Linked DNA regions of Drosophila melanogaster. The protein of the gene in region 1 interacts with the protein of each later gene in a pairwise test. Each region holds a gene or a part of one and is shown in the gene's direction. Other genes may lie near its edges. The genes, in order: CG9393 and CG8004.

Region 1 (8,892 bases):
GCAGCCACCCTGCTGGGCCCCAAGAAGCCCAAGCCCGAGGAGTTCGTCGAGGATGTGGTGGATGATCCCGCGGAACATGGCGGCCGCATGCGTAGTTTCAAGCATGAACGGGGAAACTGGGCCACTTACGTCTATGTGCCGGCAACAGCATGTGTTGACCAGCTGGAGGAGTTCCAAACGGAGGCCATTGCTCGTCTGGAGCCACACTTGGAACTGCAGCCGAACGAGTCGCTCCATCTGAGCCTGAGTCGAACAGTGGTGCTGCAGTACCATCAGATCGATGAATTCTCCCGATCCTTGCAAAGCGCCCTCAACAGCTCTGCGGGGTGAGATGTTTAACCAAGTTAAATCTAGTATCTCCCATCCTGATGACCAATCCTCTTTTAGATTCGCCGCCACTTTGCAGGGGCTGCGGATCTACACGAATGAGGAGCGAACCAGGACCTTCATTGCTGCGCCCCTGGACGCTGCATTTGTGGAGAAGATGACTGCCATTCTGCAGCCCATCGACCAAGTGATGCTCGACTACCGGCTGCAACAGTTCTATGATCCGGCCTCGTTCCACGTCAGCCTTCTTTGGTGCGTTGGCGACCAGGAGACACTGCTTAACGAAAAGCTCACGGAGTTAAAAGAGCTCCTTGATGATCAGGACAAACTCTGCCTGGCGGTCAATGAGGTGCACCTAAAGTGCGGCAACAAGGATTTTACCTACTCGTTGAAATAGGATATTGCCAGTCTTTAACTGAATCATAAATATTTATGCATGCTGATCTTTCAATTGGAATGTAGTGGAAAATATATATTGACTTTATTAGGTATCAAAAATGTAATCTGTTCCATATTAGCTCATATATATGAACATATAAATTGTAGTTTGCTAATAAAAGCAAGATTGTAAAGCAAGCCATAGCGTTGAATGAATGGTTACCATTAGCAATCCAAAGATGTTTCCTTACAAATTAGGCTTAAATATAAGAAGTCCAGTGATTACCTTTTAATTAAGACCCTTTTTCTTGTTACCATTTCCCTGCTTGGCCGCCTGCGCCTGCTCCTCCAGTAATCGCTCCTCCTCCAGCTCCAAAAACCGCTGACGACGGCGGCCGAGCGGGGTCTTCGACCACCAGGACTCGAAAGCTTCCTCCTCTTCGCGGTAGACGGGATCTCGTGAGCTGAAAGGCATGGAAACTAACAACTAACTAATTTCATAGCCAAATCTACTTACCACAGAACATTGATCAGTTCGGCATTGGTCAATGGTTGGGTGCGCAGCTGGAGTTTCCGCTTGCAGGTCATCACCTCCTTGAGGCACGCATCGATGGACCCAATGGTATAGCCATCTGATATTTTGGCCATGGCGCTGGTGTCCAGATTGGAAATGCCACCAGAGTAATCGCTGTCGGGGTGCAAACCAAATCAGTAGATTATTTTGCAAATGAATCCCCCACATTTACGCACTGTAACAATGTTTTCCAGGCATGTGACATGGCGCCGTAATCCGGTCGTGGAATATAGATGAACCGATTGTAGACGGATTGCAATAGCTTTTGATCCGCCTCCCAGGGCAGATTGGAAGTGCCAATGAAAACGACGCGATCCTCGGGCGCAATGTTCTTTATCAACTTGGGCAGATCCTTCTTCAGTCGCTTGGGATCTGTGCGATCCGTCTTTGGAATTTTCTTCATGAAGGGCCGCTCCGCATCGCCCATGAATATCACCGCAGGCTGGAGCAGTCGCGACACTTTCAGTACCAGATGGATTAGCATTATCAGTCCCGATTTGCCAGGATACTTGCCAACAATATTGGCAGGAGTCAGATCAAAGAGCACGGCACCCACCTCCGTGCAAATGGCGTGGAGCAGTGCCTTCTTCCCAGATCCTTTGGGGCCAGCTAACAGGATGGAACGTATCAGTGGAGTACAGTTATGTATGGCATCAGATCCCAGTGGAAGGATGCAGTACTCCGTGAGAATCTGGCGAATGTCGCCCGGTGAGGGATTAGTGCCAATCCTGGCAGTCAACGCCTTATCGCCCAGGAATTGCTTTAGCCTTAGCTCCGGGTATTTCCGGATTATGCCATTCGTGACCAGCTCCTCGTACAGCGACTCCGTAGTGCGATCCGGCGTTAGATCCTTCTCCTTCTTCTTTTTGCTCTTCTTGCCGGATCGCCGAGTTTTTTTGCTGCTCTTCTTCACCTTCTTGCCGACGGCCGTTTGGAGCAGCTCGATCTCCTGGCGCATCACATCGTCGACGGCGCGCCGAAATTCTAGCTCCACCTCCTGGTACTTGTCGCTGTAGATCATGTCCTCATAGGCCGCTTGGCTCAGCACACCGGTTTCATCCTTATCACGCCAGGTATCGTTAAACCTGAAGTTGTAAAAAGATTAAATTTGGATCAATTTATTATATATCTTTACTCACAGATCGATCTCCGCACGGATGTCTGGCAGGCAAACGGACGGTGCCGGCTGGAAGCTAACTTCCTCGTCTTGGTTTTCGTTGACGTTGAGGTCACCACTGCGAGCGGGTGACTTGGACTTATCCTTGGTCTTTCGCGACTCCTTGGAGGAGCGGGCCGACGAACGGCTGTGCTCGCTCTCAGTTCCAGGTCTGCTGAAAATATGCAATGAGCCGCCCTGATCCTCGGATGGAAAGTCCGGCAGCTTGCCAGTCTTGTCGTAGCAGTCCTTTACCCAAGCCCGAATCTCATCGGCAATGTCCTCCTTCATGCTGGCTCCGTGCTTGGCCCGAATCTCCTCCTTTAGTGCGTTCTGTCGCTCCTCAAACTCTTTGCCGTAAAACGCTTGCGCCTGGTAGCGCTTCTCGTTGTGTTGCAGCTTCTCCAGCTTCTCGGCTCGTTCCTTAACCACAGCCGGCGGTGGTGGCAGCATTCCGATTAGGATCATCTCCTCCATTTTGCGGCGCCGCGTTATCCGTCGGGCTGTGTGGCCACGCCACATCTTCTGAATCTTCATGGCAGCCAAAAGACCAGAGTCACTGCGCTCCTTTTCGGTGCGCTCCTCCGACTTGCCCTTCTCCTTTAGGATGCGAATCTCCTTCATGAAGTGGGCACGCAAGCGTCCTTGTCGCGCTCGCTCGTGCATTTGAAGCATCCTAATGGCTTCGATCTCGGTGGTAACCGTCTCCTCCAGCTCGTGCTCCTCAAGCCAACCCAGCTTCGTTAGGATCTCATGCATGGTCTTCTTTCGAAACTCTAGCTCCTGCTGACGCTCGCGCAGAAAGTAGCGTGGTATCCTCAGCTCCGTTTCCATGGGCGTCAGGCGCAGGCGTTCCACCACCTCGTCGTTGTAGCTAAATTCCATCAAGTCGATATTTACGAGATCGTGCTTCAGCTCCACCACTCGACCCAGACAGGCGTCTAGTAATTTACGCACCAACTGGCGCTTCTGAGGCTGAATCATCTATGATGAAAGATGAGAAGTAAACCAGAGTCAAAGGATATATCATCTCCTTATATATATCCCACTTTTGTTTAAGAAAGTCGTATACCCACATTATCATAGACATCCTCCAAACGATTGCTCAGACATATGTAGCGCAGATAGAACTCGTACAGACTGGACTGCAGCAAGGCCTTGGCATCCGCATCGGCGGCGACGGATCCGACCGCTGCATTCATGGTGGCCACCGTCGTCTCCACATCCTGGTGCTGCCTCTCATAGTCAATCGTGGATAGAAGCTCGCATTCATGCTGGGATTGGTGCCAGATATCATTGAAATATGTGCTGGACATGATGGTCAATGATACTCCTCCAATGAAAAATCAGATTCTTGTTTGAGCCAAACGAAACGTTGCCTGGGAGTTGCCAAGGAACTTTTTGCCGAAACGGGGTGGAATTATTGCAAGGACAACGAGAGTTTAGTAATTTTGTACACACATAGTTGTATATAATACATTTTGTCCAAGGCGTTGCCTGGTGTTACCCTCGAGAATAACAATAAATATGTTTACATGGTTACGCTTAAAAGGTTAAATAGTCCAATGGATTTGAATTGGTACAATGCATGGAATACCTTAATACATAATGCACATTCATATTTAGTTAATAAATAGTTAACAATATAATTGGGGCTATCTAGTCAAAATAGACTTTAAATGTTATCCGTGGAACAGTACTTGATCATGGATTTGGTGTGCTTAAACTGAATGCCACTAGTGGCGGCCACGACCTCTTGGATAAAACTCTGCGAGTTATGGATGGTGGTGCCGCCAAGAATGACTTTATAGCCGGCGTTGTTTAACTGGTGCACCGCTAAGGCTTCCTCGTACGTGGCACCGCCAATAATGAACACGACAACCTCCTGCGGTGGTCGTCGAAATGGCACAAGCTCTGAATTGATGGCCGGGAAGAGGGGATCCAGCTCGCGGCCCTTAAACACGTCCTCCAAAGTTTCCTTCAGGAGAGGAGTGTGCTGTGTGAAGACATTTTCCACACCCTTAAGGCCCTTAATCAAATTCCGTGTCAGCTTTACGGCGTCCGTTATCCGCACCATATTGAAGAGATCTCCTTGTCGTACATGGGTTCCAGCATACTCAATCAACGATGGCACTATAGCCGCTCGTCCACCGCGCGTTTTGATTATTTGCAGCAGTCCAGATGTGTCGCAGTTGGCGTGTCGCTCGTATCGCAATGCATAAAGTGCCACCAACTTAAGAGCATCATCGATGGAAACCCGTTCGTCGGCAATTAGTTTTTTGATTCTCTGCAGCTGGGCCGAGTGCTCCGCCTTGCAAGCGATCTCCTGTTCAAGTTCGGAAACCTCGAAGAGATTCCTCTTGTTGCTCAGCGCCGACAGTTCTCCAATCACACACAAATGCTTTTGCACAGTGCCAGACATTTTTTTAAACTGCGGATATGACTCAATAAAGTTCTTCATGTCTGCTATGCTCTCCACTTTCTTGTGGTCGTTCGCCTTGCGCTGGAACTCCTCCATCAGTTGTTTGATGGTAGATCCGATTTCGCCGTAGTTGGCGTACATGTTGTTGCCATAGAAGTCATCCTGATCACCGGATAAGACCAGCTCCTTGAAGTCTTTCGGCACATTGGGGCAATTGGACAGGTCCAATCGATTGTTTTTTATGTGCAGCAACTCATGCACCATGGCCTGGTATGTCCACTGATGCAAAAGCGGCGTCACAGGATCGTCCCTGCGGTCCAGCACAAGCAGCAGCGGTGGCGCAGCGCCATCCATGTTGGAGCGAAAGTCGAATAGCGAGGACTCTTTTGTGATTTGCTCGTATATGAGCTTGGCCAGAAGCTGCGCTGCCTGAGAACCGGCTCGGTACCGGATCACTGGGTTCAGCTTAAGGGACAACAGCACGGCTGTGATGCCCTGCATGCTGCGGTTGAGAGCGTCCGGCAGCCAATTAAGATTCGCCATGCAATTGGGAATGCCTAATGAGAACAGATTGGGGTTGACGCACAGGTAGTCTGCATACAGTTCCTTCACTTCTCGCACCGATTCGGATTCGTCGCACTCTGCCAAGTATTTAATGTCCGTCCGGGGAATGATGTTGCTGAAATCTATTTATGAGTTTAGTACTATTCCGAAGGTGCTTCTACTGACCCACTTACAAATGTAGTAGGCGCTGTATTTGGGGTTCCGCAACTCGTTGGCCAGTAGCTGGATGTTCTGCTTGGTGGGGCGTATAAAGACGATGCATTTTAGATACTTTAACCGCTCGTTGGATCTTCCCGAGTCCAGGCGCTCAAATAGGTACACCTCCCGTTGCAGCATGTCCGATTGGCTAAAGGCCATCGAAATTATACTGGTCTGCGAATGATGTGAATTTTTGATCATATGGCAGGGGATTTGATTGTCAGTCCTTGCACTTACCGTCTCCTTGTCCAGCAGAATGATTTTCATGCCCGGTCCCGACTCGGAGCACATTTTCTCGATGTACAACTTAATGCCGCTTATCAGATTCATGACTGCTAACTAATTTACTGCGAAAATCAGAAATTAATGTTTTTTTTCGCAAACAGATGGGTTGGAGATGCCCCAATTGCGATAGCTCCGTGATAACAGCGGTGACCAAACATTTGGGTAACATTCGCTAGATCTAGCTAATGTAAAATAATGTGAATATGTAAAAATGCATATAGATAAAAACTTACAATTTTTTGGTAGTATAATAAAAATAGCAATAAAGATAAACATAAATAGCAATTAAGCTCAAACATAATTCCGTATCTTTTCATTAGCCAAAATAAACTTCGAGTAGCAACATCCCTGGCCGGCAATCGATAAAGCGCCGATATGCTCGAGCGATATATCGAGTGCCCAGTAGTTATCAGTCTGAAGCACTCGCAGCAGTCGGCCAGAAATTCTGGCATATATTTTTGGATTCAAATTCGGATGGCTGATATGCAGGTGGACTGTTGAAAACCGGCTAAATACAAGAGTACGAGCAAAGCATAGACTAGGACACAATGGAGATGCAACTGGGAGCCATGCTGTATGTGTACAAGGGGGAGTACGGACTGCCGTCCATAGATTTTGAATGTTTACGTGCTCTGGTAAGTTCCGTTGCATCACACGGCGGCCAGCACGCCTGTTTTGCCCATTATCGCAGATGATGAAAGAAACTGATGAAAGCGCCTCTTTGCCGGAAACAGTGCCTCCTGCGATTCACCCGCTGCCCCATGGACGTGCAGACCAGCTCCAATCCGCTGCGTTCGGGAGCCGGGAAGCTGCCGTATCTGCAGATCGGCAACCAGAAGTTCGCGGGCTATAGGCAAATTAAGCGCGTGCTGGATCTCGAGGTGAGTGAGCAAAACAATGCCGGGGTGAACAAACTGCAGGCTCTATTTATAGATATGTGTTTTTTTATGGGCTTAATTCGACGTATTCTTTCAGGGTTACCCGATAGATGCGCATTTAAGCACTAAACAAAAGCATTTGTCCACCGCCTACGCCAACTGGGTGTTCACCAATCTGCATGCCTACTACCACTACTTCCTGTTTGGAGAGCCTCACAATTTTGACACAACCACGCGGGGCCTCTACGCCAAGCGCACGCCATTCCCCTTCAACTTCTACTACCCGTCGTCCTACCAAAGGGAAGCCTGCGACGTGGTTCAGGTGATGGCCGGTTTCGATGTGAACGACAAGTTGGACAAGCACGAAGGCGACTACGTGAGTGCTTTCAATTTCATATTGTCTCATATTACATTATTGTATCTTTAAATCCGAGGATTTTTTAATTTGTTTATCTAACCTATGTTTTACACCCAAGCTGCATTTCGATTGGAAACGTTTCATCAGTTTATATTAATAAGAAACAGTTTCTCATGTATTGGTCTTTTGTTATCAATATATCTTATCAATGTTGTGAAAAGCAAGACGTTTCTTTAACTATCAATTAATCATTTTACTTTACAGCTCGTTGTCAATGCCAAAAAAGTGGTGAACCTGCTCTCCCGGAAATTGGGTCGCAAGGTGTGGTTCTTTGGCGACACCTACAGCGAGTTTGATGCCATTGTCTACAGCTATCTTGCCATCATCTTTAAGATCGCACTGCCTAACAATCCACTGCAGAATCACATTAAGGGCTGCCAAAACCTAGTGAACTTTATCAACCGCATCACGAAGGACATATTCCGCATCGAGGGATACAGTTCCGTCAAGCTCACAAAGACACCCAGTGGCACGGAGGCCAGTCTGACGGCCTCGGAGCGCAAGTTCCTAGACTCCGAGCTGAACACCAAAATAGTAGCCGGCGTGGGAGCCGTCTTGGCCATGGGAGCGTTTGCGGCATGGCGTGGGATTTACAACCAGGTGGGTATTTTTGGCTGAAATTTGTAGTTCTTTACTCTTGACTTGATGGAGCTTATTCGATAGTTCTGGTTCAATGTCTTCTGTTGGCTCCAGACACTCTTGTAGACAGCCTCAGCTTGAGCACGTGCAAAATTCTCAGTTAATTGCAAATTCCGATTGATTCATCCTTGCAGCTAACGACACGCTCTTCGACGGACTACGATGGCATAGATTACGAGGATGACGAGATGGAGGAGGGCCTAGACTAATCGCATCTCTGCAACGATATCTATGTGTATAGTATATATATTTTAAAATACAATGTGGGGATGAAGCACAAAAACTGTCCAGCTTTAAAGGTTTACCTAAACACTGAAGGAGATCGATTTACTTGGCCATAAATCTTTGGACCGAAAATTTCGTCAGGTAATGATCCCCTCGTCGTAGATAACGCTTCGTTCCAAGGATTTGCCAAACAAATCGACTAAGTATGAAAATTCGGTTTATGTATTATAGTTCGAATTCGTTTTTAAACTGTCTTGTATAAAATAGCATTTTAAAGTCATCTGAGCGTAATAAAATTGGATAACAGAGCCCTGTTGTCATGGAAAAGACAAGCGAAGCTTTCTCGATGTCCAATAAGAAACCAGAATTCCTCGATTGGAGTTGGATTTGGTTTATTACACACTAGTCTTAAATGTAGATTTCGAATAGGGGTCAATACGATAGAGATGTTAGAGCCTACAATGGAATTGGTAGATGCATGGGGGTTAACCATTGAACTCATGTCTTGAGTGCATCCTGCAGCTTTCGCCGCGCAACTCCGACCCGATCCTCCTGTTTGCGTATGTCGTCCTCCGAAATGATCACCGCGTGCATTAGCGGTTGTTCAGGATTCATAAACGCCATGGCATTCTTGGTCAAATCAGCCTTCGTAGAACTCTGGCCGTGTACGCCGGCGTTGAGCATATGCAGGGCCGTGGCCACCGACTGGAGGACGGTCTGTTCGTTGACATTGGGGCCAACGGTGCGTATGGTCTTGGGCAGTGAGATGTCGTCTAGCTCCTCGCCACTGTCGTGGCAGGCGCGTAGTCGTTCCAGTCGCTTCTCCCA
Region 2 (8,394 bases), on another chromosome or scaffold:
TTTATATAGACATAAGAAGAAAACGTAATAATAAAAACAATAGCCGCCCCCCTTGGTGCTTTCTATATATTTTCCACAGACAGCCCACTGCGAGTGTGCAATAAAATTCATCATACGCTACGTTGGCCCCTTTTGGCTGGGAACAGGATGAAAGTTTCGCACGTTGCTCCGTGTGCTGACCCGCATATGAAATTAGAGGCCAGCAGAAACCGAAAAGTTGCCAAATCTTTGTTGGATTTAATTATGCTTAAATGGGCTTAGCAAAAACTTGCCATAGAAGCAAAAAGGTATTCAATAAAGGTGCATGCCCATACATGAGATCTAAAATGAAATTAATTGAATTTCGAACAAAGGAAGTTTAATTTTGCCACATTTGACTACTATATACATATGTATATGCCATATTTTGTGGACAAATGCTGTGTTGTCCGTTTTGCCGTTTGCTGTGTGAAAATTATTAAATCTTGTTAACCAGGAGAAACAGGATAAGAATATGTAAAACAGTTAAATATATATTTTTTAAAATCATGCCAATGGGCAAATTGCATAAATGCAAACACATAAATCCCATTAGCGGCTATAAAAGCTGTGCATACATATAGCCATTTGTAGAGATTAAATATGCATTTTTACAGCGATGCCTGTGCGGCTTGACATCAGCTGCATTTCATGGCTTTTCCAGTGGAACAGATGCCAATAATCCTAGTGCTAGTGATGGGGATGAATTCGAAAAAAAATACAAAATTTATTTATTTAAAAAAATGTTAAAAAATATAAAAGGTTTTACACTTGAATAAACCAAATGAAGTTTCTTTCTAAATATCATAAGTATTATTACATAAGACATAATGAATAATGAATATAGTAATATTCAACAATTTGATTTAAGCGAGCATTCATTTCTCTCAGTGTAAAATAACAACAAGGTACCGTTAGCAGCACTGCCTACCTACACGGGGACAAAATGGCCACCATTCGCATTTCCGCTTGCGTGTGCTGTGTGAGCACTTTGCCTGTTGCGCTTTCTGGCCTGCTCTTTGATTGCATTTCATTTCTACTTTATTATCCGCATTCTGGACGGCTCCTGTTTTTTCCATTGGCTCAGCAGCTTTGCTGCAAATTTCATTGAGCCCCAGCCCGGATGCAATGGACCATAAAGGTGCAGCGGCGGGACAATTGGCAGCATTGGGCCAAAAGGCCACATTGCCACACAATGGGGAGTGCGGAATGTTGGAATGTCGGATTGAACAATGCGATTGAAGGCTGAAATTCGACGGGCCGTCTGTCAATCAAAACATCCTCGACGGACAGAGATAGACGTTCCTGTTTGATGCAAAAATATTGGTATTTCAAAGGTAATGTTAAGAGTAGTCGAGCTGAACGGCCATACCAAAAGACATATATCTGCTAAACCATTTGAGTGAATTAAAAGATATAGTATATATAATTTTTTGCTATGAGGAAATATATGAAAATGGCGAAACAAGCAAGACTTCTCTTATGTATACATGTAAGTTTTTGTTAGTTGCTTACCTGTAATTACTTCTCACGTAATGAAAACAGTGTGTACTTATTTTTCTGATTGTTTTGTTCCACATCCTGGAAAATCGCACCCTTAAAGGACCCCAAAAAACATACGAATGCCCCAGGCCATTTACCGAAAACACAAATGATTTGTTTTTCTTAAATTACACCATTTTTCTGCTGGCAACTATAGCAATTTCCGAAAAAGTAACTTGCTTATTCATGCAGGTTTTCGCGACTCTGAAGACAAATGTGCGTTGGAATATAAAATGCGGTTATTATTATTTTCTGTTCTGAAGCGGCGATTGTTGGGCAACATGCTGCTAATGTCTGGCGCAACAAGAGGCTGGCCACTTGTTGCTGGTTGCGAATGTAAACAGAGAAGTGTGTTTCACAAATTCTCTCTTTTGTACACCTTGAAAAATATTTGGTGACCGTTCACAGGGCGGATGAGTAATACTCGCTCTGCTGGCCACAATTTATGACGTTTGCCCCTTGGCAATGTAAGCTGATAAGCATTATAAAGTGTGAAGTCAACTTATCTTTGGCTACGGAGAAATCTGTGCACACACTGCCACTATAATTTATGGGATACCCATATCATGGAAAAAGAATTCGCTCACTTAGGCATTTATTTTAAAATATGTATCCTTTATTCTTTATTGCTCTTCGGTTGCATTCAATCAGCTTTCGCATATATGGTATGTTGTACACAAAAAATACACAGAGATATATAGTTAGAATAATGTGGATTTAAGTAACTCCATGTTGCACAAACTTCAAATGCATAATAAAGCATCAGCTTTAGTTGCATTTAACAGTTCGTGTTGCACGATTTTAATCGGTTTCTTTTTAGTTTTGAGGCGACTTGTTCTTACAATAAACTATTCCATTCTTCAATTTGAAATACACAGCGAAATGCAAACAACTTTCTTAAAGTTAATTACTCAATTGTTAATCTGTTTGAAAATGTATGTTAAACATAGGCAATGGCATTAAGAACCAAACGACTGACTGTCTGACTGACTGGTTGGCTGACTGACTGACTGACTGGCCTAGTGACTTGACTTGGTTTTGACTTGACTCTCATTGAGGAGGACTTAGGCGAAAAATGCTCTTCATCTGCACACATTCCAATTGCAAATAGGGTATCAAAAATACTTATCATGGCTTTACATTACACTTTAGTTACAAAAATATTTAAAATTTAATACCGTTAACAAAAATACTTGACGATCAATTACACTTTTGGAAAAATTCGCTTACACTTTTGGAACAAAACTAAACTCATTTACAAGGCATGTTTGAGGGAAAACAAAAAGCGTATGATGTATGTTGTAAGTTGTGTGTCGTGTGTGTTTGTTGTGTGCTGTTCGGTGTGCCAATTAGGCCCAGTCCTTTTTGATCTCAAAGGTCCAGTCCCACTCCAGGTGTATGTGCTTGTCGTCATCCGTGAAGACCGAACTGACCGAGTAGGTGCCGCGGGAGAATGTGCCTGAAGGTGCCTCCTCGGCGGGCGTCAAATAGAACTGAATCTCCTTCTTCGGCGGATAGGAGCCAACCATATGCTTCATCTTGTCAACTATGGAGTAATGCGAAAACAGTCAGTTTAGTAAGGATACACATTTGCGGATGGGCTGCACCAGCTTACCCACAACTTAAAAAATTATACATTCCGAAATTAGGGTTTGGCATTGGAGATAATGGAATACAAGTTATTCTCAACACATGACTAAAGTTAGTATGGCAATTGTGAAAAAAAGGATATAGGCAGCACTGCAAAATCCCACCAGTATGGTTGTGCCATTGAACCAGCTTTTACCCATTGCTAGAAACAAAACTCGACTAGCCCGCACAAAAGTCAATCAAAAACTGAGGTGTAATACTAACGATTTCGCGTCAGCACGGAAAATTGAAGACCTAGAAGTGCTCGCATAGTGTAACGTATGGAAAATAACTAAAAACAAGTATCTTTTGACCCGGTTTTAATTTAATTTTATTCTTACAATACTAGGGCACTAGGTCAGTAAATAAATAAATCAATTAATAGAAAATTAGGGTAGGACAAAAAAGAAATATAATTGCTTTGCCCTAAGTAAAGACATATAATGTTGATAGAATTGAGAGTGTAAATCTATTCTATATTCTGCCAATTAAAAATACAAATGTCATGTTTAAATACTCACCATTAACACCCAAGCGAGAAGTCTTTTGAACATACTTAAGGCCATGGACTATTTCACGCTGCACAATAAAATCAATGCGCACCTTGTACTGAACACCTTCTTTGATCACAAAAAGCTGTCGCAATAGGGTTTTGATTAACAAAAGTAGTCGAATGGATGATGATGGTTAATGATATTTACCTGCTTTTTCAGCTGACTAAGGTCACCGGTAAGATCCAATTCCATGTCGTCGCGTCCTTCGACAACGAGGGCCAGTTTCTTTACAATAACTTTTCGGGGATCATTGGGTTCTGGGTAAAAATGTTATTGCTTTAGTATATTCTGCACCCTCCACTTTCAGAGGCCAAGTTAACCGCCCCTTACCAACAATAATTTTCTCGGTCTGGGCGGCACCCAGGAGCGCCTCCTTGTAGCGCCGCAAGCTCTCATCCTCCTGATCGGCGGCCATTATTTCCTCGATGGTCTTCTCCGGCGGCGCCTGGTAGTTGGCATCGTGGACATCGTCGTCGTGGTGCTCGGGATGGTGCTTCGTCTCTGTTTCGGCCATGATTGCTAACCTAGAACTGTCCAAAGGCAATTGTTTGTTTATCAATCAATTACATTTAAATATTGCTTCGGATTTTGCTTAGTATGCGTCGGTTTCTCTGGGTGAAGCTTGTGGGTCATAGGCATATTTTTAGTAGTGTGAGTAACATTTTGACGATAATGATGTTGTTTTATACACATATGTATATGCCTCCATTTTAATGGCATGTGCGCCACCATATCTGCTACATCGTATCGGAGTGTATGAAAGTATTCCTCATTCAAAAAATGTAGGAAGAGTGTTTTTTCTTCTGAAAATTGTCGCCCTAAGGAGAGTTGAGCTCATAACTTAACAATGCAGGGAAGAAATTCGAAAAAAAAACCTGCCATCTAAATATATAGTTGAGTAGTTAGTACATTTGTTTCTACAAATTACAATGTTAAATATTGAAATTCAAATAACAACGATCGCAAACATATTCCATATACTTCGCTACTGATTACGTTATCATTCGCTGGCCATAAAGCGGGTTTATTTACTTTTTTGGCAACACGAGTGCCTCCGTTGCGAACAAATGTAGCCACTTCATAAGCCCGTTCAATAATATTGATTAAATTTCAATTATTAACGCATTGATGAACTGACGTGTTCTCTGTCTAGGGGGCGGGGCAGAGAGGGGCGCTCGACCTGCAGCTGGTCCGCTCGCAAAGTAAAAAAAAAGGTTCAACCAAATACGGAGCGGCAGTTAGATAAGGCAGGCGAACTCGACGGAGGGAGAGAGAGCGGATATCGGCATTGAATAATATTGACCAGAACTGGGAACTGGCGACAAAAAGCCAAACCCACCGCCCCCCGGAAAATGGCTTTATTGTTATCTTGCTTTGTTTTCCACTATCTAAATACACGTCGCCAGCTCTCTGTCCATTTTCAACGAATGTTGTTGGGCCAATAATAATTCTCGATTCTCCAGATTTGGCTTTATATATATGTACATACATATGCAGTGTACCCGGGCAAAAAAAATACATGAAATTGAATTGTTATTACTTGACATCGAGTTGTTGTTGAGGTAATAAAATTGTGTCTATACAAAACGATTTTGCAGGCCCATGTGTACATACAGTAGTAATAATGATGTATTTCTCAATTTTATACAAAACATATTTTGAAATTCTCAAAGCTAATAAATATTTATCTATCTATCTATCTGTTTTTTACTTGTAAATGTAAATATTATTGGTGCTTAAAAATCAATAGTTTGAATCTTAGTATCGGTTTTTAGATCTCATCGTAATATTTCCAAATTAGGCATATGAAAAGCACTCACAATTTCTCTCCGTGCTTGTGTGGGAATGGCAAAAAATAATAAACAAAAAATTTTCGGACTAACAACGCAAGTTTGGGCCAATAAATACAATCGCAACAATTAAGGATGGGTGAGAAAAGGTAATTTCAAGAACAATCTGACCGAACTGAAAATTTGAATTCCAAACAAATGTGCCAGCGTCGAAGGAAGTGCAAGCGAGAGGGCTTGCCAGAGAGAGAGAGAGAGAGAGAGAGAGAGAGGACCCCCCGCCAAAGACAAAGTGTGGGGATAATTCAGGGAAAAGTACGAACCATGCCACTTTTTTTTCTTCTCTTTTTTTGATAAAGAAATGTGCACGAAGAATGTTAAAACCCCAGACGAATGAATCACACACACCAGCTCACACACACACACACTCACACTGAGGCCGGCACATGAATCGTCACTGATTTTCAAGTAGAATTTTTGGGAGTGGTTCTTGGCCTGCAGTCACCCAACTACATACATTTGCTATCAATGCCAGCTTGTATTAAATTAATATAATAATATTATAAATATTTTTTTTATGTAAAATGCATTGGAAGGCACCGCACTCACACACACACACAGTTGCAAGTTGGCAACGACGCGCACTCACCTTTTAATATGCGAAATTAATCAAATAGTACGATCTCTGAAAATTAATCACTGAAAAGTAACTGTATGTTATATTTTTAACAACTTTTGATAACTAACTTTTAAACAAAGCAAATAATATAAAATAAGAATTACAAGTGTGAACGTATGCTTTGGTGGACAGAATACCAAAACGCGAGATGGACTTGAAGAAGTCATCCGTTCACACTGCTGTCCAAAAATACTTGCTTTTCGAAAAAGTTTTTAGTTTTGAAACAGCTTCCCCTAAATCTATTTTATACTTTGTAAGTATGGGTTTAAAAAGAAATTATTAATTAGTTTAACGAATCTTGCTGAAATGCAATTTCTAATAAGAATCGCTGTTTGGTCATTGTCTGCAACAGTCTGGCAACGCCGACAAACAGCTGCTTGTTACTTCATCGGCGATTTCGGTGTGCAAGTTGAAAAACACAATTTACTCCGTTAATTTACAATGACATCCCAGTACCTGAGCCAGCTAATAACGGCCGACAAATTGTCCGCCGAGCCCTGGCCCGAAGACGCCACCCTCTACCAGGTAAGGTCCTGGTTTATAGGTCCAGAATCTTCACTAACATTAACCTTTCATTAATGTGCATTAAAAAAAACAGCCGTATGAAGCGGAACAGATCCTACTGCCGGAAAACGCCAGTTGCCTTGCTGTGAAGGCTTACCTGAAGATGTGCAACCTCCCCTTTTTGATTCGGTCCTGTGCCAACGCGGAGCACATGTCGCCGGGCGGCAGGATGACCAAGTTGCCCTTCATCCGCGCAGGAGCATTCATCTTTGCCGAATTCGAGCCGATCGTGAACTTTGTGGAGCAGAAGGAACTGGCCATTGGCAGCTGGCAGGACGAGGACGAGAAGGCCGACATGCGCACCTATGTGTCGCTGGTGGAGAACATCTTCACCATGGCTGAGCTGTACATTAGCTTCAAGAACGAACGCGTCTACAAAGAGGTCACAGCGCCCAGGAACGGAGTCGTTTTTCCCTGGCCCCTCAATCACATGCAGAACTATGGAAAGCGGCGGAACGCGCTGCGTCTGTTGAAGGTCTATCAGTGGGACGACCTGGACATCGATAGCGTCATTGACAAGGTGGCCAAGTGCTGTGAGACGCTCGAATACAAGCTGAAAGAGTCGCCGGAAACGCCATTCTTCTACGGCGATCAGCCCTGCGAACTGGACGCCATCGCCTTCGGCCACCTCTTCAGCATTCTGACCACCACGCTGCCGAACATGGCGCTGGCCCAAACGGTGCAGAAGTTCCAGCACTTGGTCGAGTTCTGTCGCTTCGTCGATGAGAAGTACTTTCAGACGAGGTGCCTACCAAATTAGTTATACGTAGTCGTTGCCTTAAATGCTTATCAATTAAGTTGCTCTTGTCCTTTCTTTTTAACCGCTTATATATGCAATTCTAAATGCCCTTAAAACAAATCGTCGCCGTAAGTCACAATTATTTTGCTACTAGCATTTAAAAAAAAAAGTTGTTCTAGTGATTTTGCTGCCATTAATGTCCAAAAATCCATGTGAATATCATTTGCACAAGTGACTCAATCTGCAAGTTTGTTTAAATGGAATTCTAAAATACTTCTAACGATCTTTACTTCATTTATTTTGCAGCAAATAACTTTTCTGCTAATAAAATTGTGTAAGTATTTGCTATAATACATCAAATAAATTGTTTTCTTAGCAAACCAAAAAAAAAAATAGTCTTGATTTTTGAACATTGCTGCCTTTTCCTTTTCATACTTTTGAAGAAATTGAACTCTCGTTTATGTAAAGACCTTAAATACACATATAGTTTTATTGATTTATTGTTATAATTAATTTAGATTATTATTATGAATGCAATGTACACATCTTTGCATGCAGATGGCCGAACCAATCGCGCCACTTGTGATATTTGCTAACGCAATCATACAAAACAATCAGATGATTCTCGAAAATAAAAGCTTAACAATTTGTCCAGGTTTAGCAGTTGGTCCATTAGCAGTTGGCCCAGTAGAAGTCTTAGTTTCCAGCCTGATTCACTGCCGGTCCGGATAGTTCGTCGTTGCCTGCCGCCGGAGCAGCGCCAGCTTGCGGTGGTACTGGTGGTGCAAACACATGGGCCATCTGCGGCGGCAACGGCGTTGGCTGCGTGGGAAACAGTCCGCCCATGGAGGGTTGCACCTGCGGATACGACGGCACTGTCTG

Evidence for each region.
Region 2: the proteins of CG9393 (region 1) and CG8004 interact in a two-hybrid assay, tested with the Drosophila melanogaster proteins (2 studies listed by BioGRID).

What each region holds. Positions count from the first base shown.
Region 1 is NT_033777.3:9,561,083-9,569,974, reverse strand, and holds CG9393 (uncharacterized protein), read left to right. Parts: upstream 1-6,301; 5' UTR 6,302-6,452; coding exon 6,453-6,539; intron 6,540-6,638; coding exon 6,639-6,785; intron 6,786-6,879; coding exon 6,880-7,158; intron 7,159-7,404; coding exon 7,405-7,800; intron 7,801-7,863; coding exon of another isoform or gene 7,864-7,905; exon of another isoform or gene 7,906-7,973; coding exon 7,974-8,048; 3' UTR 8,049-8,392; downstream 8,393-8,892. Other genes in the region: CG16790 (uncharacterized protein), read left to right, coding at 1-326, 388-724; CG16789 (uncharacterized protein), read right to left, coding at 995-1,169, 1,223-1,393, 1,456-2,364, 2,419-3,419, 3,512-3,751; Vps45 (vacuolar protein sorting 45), read right to left, coding at 4,111-5,543, 5,595-5,793, 5,857-5,949; MBD-like (Methyl-CpG binding domain protein-like), read right to left, coding at 8,563-8,892. UniProt on the Drosophila melanogaster protein: Involved in transport of proteins into the mitochondrion. Essential for embryonic development.
Region 2 is NT_037436.4:19,926,694-19,935,087, reverse strand, and holds CG8004 (uncharacterized protein), read left to right. Parts: upstream 1-6,579; 5' UTR 6,580-6,650; coding exon 6,651-6,734; intron 6,735-6,807; coding exon 6,808-7,533; 3' UTR 7,534-7,894; downstream 7,895-8,394. Other genes in the region: CG46462 (uncharacterized protein), read right to left, coding at 3,246-3,350; RhoGDI, read right to left, coding at 2,910-3,106, 3,711-3,825, 3,891-4,000, 4,074-4,257; Grasp65, read right to left, coding at 8,209-8,394.